Linked DNA regions of Oryza sativa Japonica Group. Each later gene encodes a partner of the first gene's protein in a complex. Links are inferred from orthologs where the notes say so. Each region holds a gene or a part of one and is shown in the gene's direction. Other genes may lie near its edges.

Region 1 (3,266 bases):
ATCCCGAGGCCGGCGGGGAGAGACGCGGAAGCCGACGGCGAGTTCCAGGAGACCGAGGAGGAGAAGAACTACTGGAACAGCATACTGAACCTGGTGAACTCCTCGTCGGCACCTATGTCGACGGCCGTGGTTGTGCCCGCCTCCCACGCGTACTCGCCGGCGCCGGACTTCTGAGCGGAGAAAACCTCGCCGGCATCAAACTTGATTCGATCTCATGACACAGTAAATAGTTTAGCAATGATTGTCGAATAAGATGGGACTAATATTAATGTTAGTAATTATTAATCACGTTCTTGGGTTAACCTGACAATGCTTTCGATTAAACTTGTGGGCAAGAACTTCAACTGTTCAAGGCTGTATCGACATTTGAAATTCGATGCTTGTTTTGTTCGGTGTTCTTATAGAATGTGTAAAACACTGAAACTACTATCAGAGAATGTAGCATCCTTACTTGCAAAGTTACTACTCCTGCTTGTTTTTTTTCAAAACTTACGATCATTTCAGTACTTTGTACCCGGTTCATTTCATTCCACTATCAGTTTTTACTACGCCCAAGCGGTTGGCAACTGGGCACTAGCACTACTGAAGGCCAGGGTTTCCCAAACCACCGGACCGGGGTTACCACACGGTAACCGTGTAAAATTTATCAAAATTTAAAATTATTTTTTAAATTTATTTGAATTTAAGGGGGTTACCGCGGTTTCCCTTTTACCGTACCCCACGGTAAGCGCGGTAATCGCACGGTTACAGACGGTTTTGCAAACCCTGCTGAAGGCAAACGGACGGCCTCATCTTTTCGCTTATACTTATGTTTATCAGTCAAAATTTAAATTTTTACCTTTAAATTTGGGGTTGATTTTATTTTTTTTATCGAAGGTTTATTTTTCAGTCTTTGCTTTTAGATCGTTAAAAATATATATATAAAAGATTTATTCACAAATTATTTTTTATTTACAAATATGCCATTTCGTTTATTCTCGAATAACCGAGACGATTGAGCTGTGAGCTTTTTACTTAGATTGGATCTGGGCCGGGCCGTTTTGTGCTGGGCCATATTGGGCTTTACCATAACTTTCTAGCCCACATCTAATAGCTGACGAGAAGGGGATTATTAAGGGTAAAGATAAGAGGAGGCAGCCCCGCACCATCGTCTTCCTCCTCTTATCCGCACAGGAGCCTCGGACTCGGACACGATGCTGGCGATGTCCGTCCACCCCGCCGCCACGCCGGCCCTCGCCTCGCGCGCCCGCATCTCCCGGCCCAAGCTTTCCGCCGCCTCCCCCTGCACCACCTCCTCCTCCTCCACTCCACGCCTCGTCCACCTCGGCAGCAGGAGGCTTCCCCTTCGCTCGCTCCGTGGCCTCGCCGCCGCCGCCGCTTCTGGCGCCGTCGAAGCGGAGGAGGGAGAAGAGGAGAAGCAAGTCGGAGGTGGGGATGCGAGCGCCGGCGAGGAAGCGCAGGAGGTAATGGGCTAGTAGCCGCTCCAAACCATGCCAGTGACTGAAATTACGGGGTTTTTTTTTTTACCGAGTCGAGCTCAATTTCAGAAGGAAGTGTTGTTTTTTGAAGAGGATGGAGTTCAATCACATTTGGTTTCGCATGAATTTGATTTTTCTTGAATCAATTTTGGTTACCGAACTGATTACTTGAGCTCATAGGTGAAATACAGTACGAGGTGTACATTTGGGTGAATTCACGAGTAGAGTAAATCTTTAGACACAATGCACAGCTGAAAGCTTAAGAGAAGTCACAAGTAGAGTAAATTAGAGAAGTTCTAGTCTAGTTGAGCATGTTTGGGCACTCGGGCTGTCCTTTTGGTGCAGTTTTGCACTTCTGCAGATAAAAGGTGTATGCTAGTGATGAAGAGGCGAAGAGCACATGAAAGCATGTCCACAAACTTGAGCGTGTGCCATTTTTGGTTGTATGTGTAAGCAAGAACTGAACTATTGAACAAACTGTAGCATTGACAGGTTTTGGTCATGAAAGGAGTTTTTTTTCATTCAGCTATTTACGTGATTATGTAACAACATTAACAGGCACAATAAGTTCCTTTTTCATCACTATATCAGATTTCAGAGATGTACACTAAAAGTGGATTAGTTTTGATTATATGGGAGTTACCCTCACAGTTGAAAAATGGGGCCTTTTGTAGAGAAATGAAGTTGTCAATGGAACACGTACAGTAGTTGTTGCAATTTATTTTACTACGACTTGAGCTGTGTTAAAACTGCACAATTTATTTTACTCAGATATGCAAAATCAGTATTAGCATTATGAGATTTGAAACGAATTGATTTTGTATCGCAGTACAAGGTTAAGGTGCCTGAAAGGCAGGATCCAATGCTTGTTCTGAAGTTCATATGGATGGAGAAGAACATTGGCATAGCCCTCGACCAGTTGGTTCCCGGCTATGGCAGCATTCCGTTAAGCCCATACTACTTCTGGCCACGGAAAGATGCCTGGGAGGAGCTAAGAGCAAAGCTGGAGGAGAAAGAGTGGATCTCTCAGAAACAGATGATCATCCTTCTGAATCAGGCCACTGATATCATCAACCTTTGGCAACAGGGTGGTGGCAGCTTGTCAACCTAAGAGGATATCTCAATTCTCCCATCCTTGAGAACCTTGTTTCTTTTTTTCTTGCTTTGGTTACACGGATCTTTGTTGTTACATGACCCTGTAGATCGATTCAAACTGTTTTCGGATACGGTTTTGTTTATGGAAATGAATTGTGATTGATCTCTGTAAGGTAAACGATTTGGGCTCCATCATCCGCAGGGAAGATTGCTAATACCTCTTGATACTACTATACCATGATCCAGTTAAATAAATGTAACTCGATATTTTGAACTTGAAGAAAAAGGGGAATTTCTTTTCTTTCGAAGAGATTTGGGGTCACGGGGGCATATACCCCTTCTACTGCGATTAACTAACACCGGTGATGCCCTGAAAAAGCCCGGCCCGCTCCGCGCACCACGAGCCTAGGCCGTCCACGCGTAGGCCTCTGCAAAACGGGCTGCGGCAACGCGTGAGCCTGTGCGAAACGAGCGTGAAAACGCTCGTGGACTCGTGGAGTCGTCGTGGTGCCCGCGCGTCGTGCTGCGACGCTCGTTCTCACGCCGCATGCAGCGCCGCGCCAGCTTGGTCACGGTCTCAAAAGCGTTCAAAAGGCATGGGAGCAACTGAGCAAGGCGTAGCAGCTTATCATCATCTCGGCCAAGGGGGGAGGAGGGGCAAGGCACATGGAGGCGTTGGGTTGGAGTTGGACC
Region 2 (3,055 bases), on another chromosome or scaffold:
GTAAAATCATGTCTTAGGTCTTAAATAACCAATATAAAAACATTCAAACTTAAGAATGCTTATTGATGTGAAATGAACAAATATTATTTGTTAATATGAATGTTCTCACCGAAAGCTTGTCATCTTTGCCTGCTTTATGTGTTCAAAATTCGCTAAAGTTGGCCTGTGTTTGGCGCAGCATTGGTGCACTGAGGATGAAGAATGAGTGCTCTGTGTTCAAAGTAAACTGCAATGACAGGAATCTGGAAGGGTATGCATTTCATTGACTCGTCCAACTTGTTCTTCACATACTATCCAATCATCATGCAATTTCCTCACATGATGTGATGAGGCCATGTTCTCTTTCAGATGCCGCAGGTCTCTTCAGAAGATGAAGAGGGAGCATGCCACTCTGAAGCAGAAGCTGGAATCATATTTTCAGGTATGTTGTACTACATCCTTGTCTCTCTCTCTTTCTGTTTACCTTATTTTCAGCATTGCTACATGGCTAAACAACTTGGTTATCTCCTGTTCCTTCTGCTGATGCAGTTACTGAGGCAAGTTGGTCCCCGTGATTATGCAGTGAGCTCAAGGAAGTAAGAAGAACAGTATGAGTTCCAAGGAAAATAAAGAACATATACATAGCAGCTATCAGTCTCTTGAAAATTCTGTCGCTGAAAAGTTTTTGTGCCAATCAGATACTCATAATGCTTAATGGTGCCTTTTTGTTGTGTTTGGATTGCATCTGTAGCTCCATAATCCATATATACTGTATGAAGTTATGTAAAGCCCTGCTTATGCACACTCTCCTTGCCTGTCTACAAAGTGCCATGAACTTGTGTTATTAGTCAGTAATTGTAGCAGAAAGTGTCATGGTACTAATATGAGCTTTTAATGTTTGAAACTAGTAATATGTAAACTAGTTTTTTGGGTTAATTAATTGCCCAGGTGCCATCATGGAAAACTATTTGTTTGTACTTTGTATACTCAACAAACGCTATAGTCACATTCCCAGAACCAAAGACACTTAAAAACACTGGTTTTTCATCTCTTCCACTAATATTCATAACAGTGTTTGAGCTTTAACCATCAATATCATTTTGAACGTTTCGATTTCTAAAATCTTAAAAACGTTATGGCTAGATTTGTCTTCAGAAGTCCTAAAAATATCATAACTTTGCTATATTCTTCATAAGTTTTATACTAGTAGTAATAATTTAATCATAAAAAAATGATTATCTATAGAAAAAGAAATGAGAGGACAAAAAAAAAAGAAAGAGAAACATCAGAATTGCAGAGGGCCAAGCCAATCATGGGCTTGGTCCATAGGCCCAAGAGACAAAGCCCAATCCATGGGCCTGGGCTTCCCTTTCCCTCCGTTTTATCTACTCCGATGCACGCACAGCTTATCCGATTCCATCCATTCCTCAAGCTCTCACTCCTCTCTCGCTTCCATGGCGCTCCTCGCCGTCCACGCCATGGCCGCGTCCCCGGCCACCTTCCCCTCCTCCCACCACCACGCCGCCGTCTCCTCCTACTGCGCGCTCCCCGCCGCCGCCGCATTCTCCCGCTCCCGCTCTCGCGTCGCCGCCGCCGCCGCCGCCACCCTCTCGGCCCCGCTCACTCCAGTTCTTGAAGGTAACTGACATGCCTACCTAACCTCCCTGTCTCTGTTTTGTTCGTCAATTCGGATTAGTCTGGTGTGAAATTGGCTCGATGATCTTATATGAAACTGCTTTTCAAATCGTATTGCACGAATTCAATTGATACAGCACCAAAACATAGATTGAAACAAAAACCTCGCAGTTTGAACCAATTACGATTCCAACTCAAATTACTCCATTTGGTGTGACCAGTTTACTGCGGGAGAGGGGACAAGAAGACCAAGAGGGGAAAAAGGTTCAACCACTCGTACGGAAATGTGAGTCTCTAGCACAAAAATAAAATTAATAAAAAAATCATATGCTTATTGCTTCCTGTGCTGCTGTTTGCTGCAATTCTTCAGACTTGCCATCTGCTGACTGCTGTTTGCTCATCTCAGGCGAGGCCGCGCAACAAGAAGAAGGGAACTGGCCCTGCACGGCTGTTCGCGCCGCCTGCGCCTCCGAGGAAGGACCAGTTCGACGACGGCGAGGTCACCCCGATCGACATCGACGATGACATCCTGGAATAGGTTGTCTGAATTTCCCCCCTTGAATTATGGTTTACCTTGAGCTTACCTTTTGTCTAGTCTGTACCAAACACTGTTTCTTGAAATTAATTACAGTACATTACATGGTCTCATTCTACATAATGTAGATGCCTATGATTTCTTTCCTTGTAATATATATGAATGGTGCTGCTTAGAGTCATTTTTTATGCATTACCAGCTGAAGCAGAACATAAGTACAGATACAATCACCAAACTTTCATGTTCTTGCTAGAAACCAGGGAAGATGCAGTATCTCTTTTTTTTTTCTTTTCTAGCTGTGTCCCTGAATTCAAGCACCTTTTGACATGCTTCGAATTTGTTGTGATGATCTGGGAAGCAGTTCTTAAGAATCAACTAATAAACCAGTCCATCAGATCGGGTCAGAAATCTGCCCCTTTTTTGTTGTTTTGTCTGTTGACTCTGTTATGCGCTTGAGTTTTGACACAAGAAATTGTTTTGATGATCTGCAAAACATATTCCTTTAAAGCTGGACAACAAACCAGTTCAACTGGTCAGCTTGGTGGTAATTGTATGTTAAAATTCTGTCATTTTTTGTTGTTTCGTCTGCAAGTTTGTTGTGAGCTGCTCCCCCCGCCCACAAGGGTAAGCAACTATCTCGCCCGAAATATACTACAATTTTGGCCCAAACTGGAAGTGTAAACCCTGCTACGCAATGGCTTTAAGAACCCTAAACCCTGAAGCATGTTTTGTTTGCTACCATTTCAAGCCATCACAAATTTTGGTAAGATAACGAACCAAATATGTTCGAGTATCCCTACCTTACCAAAATTTGGTAACGTACGAAACAAACCCGCCATCTGTTCAAAAATTTGGTGAAGTAACAAACCAAACATTTTCCCACAGTCCTAACATTTGATAAGTTCA

What was found. The genes of interacting proteins can lie anywhere in the genome.
Region 2: small ribosomal subunit protein cS23 (region 1) and 30S ribosomal protein S31, chloroplastic share a complex: the UniProt entries of both Arabidopsis thaliana proteins name them as parts of the 30S ribosomal subunit. The link is inferred for Oryza sativa Japonica Group from reciprocal best matches to the Arabidopsis thaliana genes PSRP3/1 and PSRP4.

What each region holds. Positions count from the first base shown.
Region 1 is NC_089038.1:23,520,437-23,523,702, forward strand, and holds small ribosomal subunit protein cS23, read left to right. Parts: upstream 1-1,141; 5' UTR 1,142-1,193; coding exon 1,194-1,463; intron 1,464-2,307; coding exon 2,308-2,589; 3' UTR 2,590-2,751; downstream 2,752-3,266. Other genes in the region: transcription factor MYB106, read left to right, coding at 1-174. UniProt on the Arabidopsis thaliana protein: Component of the chloroplast ribosome (chloro-ribosome), a dedicated translation machinery responsible for the synthesis of chloroplast genome-encoded proteins, including proteins of the transcription and translation machinery and components of the photosynthetic apparatus.
Region 2 is NC_089039.1:5,295,862-5,298,916, reverse strand, and holds 30S ribosomal protein S31, chloroplastic, read left to right. Parts: upstream 1-1,387; 5' UTR 1,388-1,433; coding exon 1,434-1,617; intron 1,618-1,835; coding exon 1,836-1,900; intron 1,901-1,984; coding exon 1,985-2,152; 3' UTR 2,153-2,543; downstream 2,544-3,055. Other genes in the region: pseudo histidine-containing phosphotransfer protein 2, read left to right, coding at 179-250, 349-421, 529-579.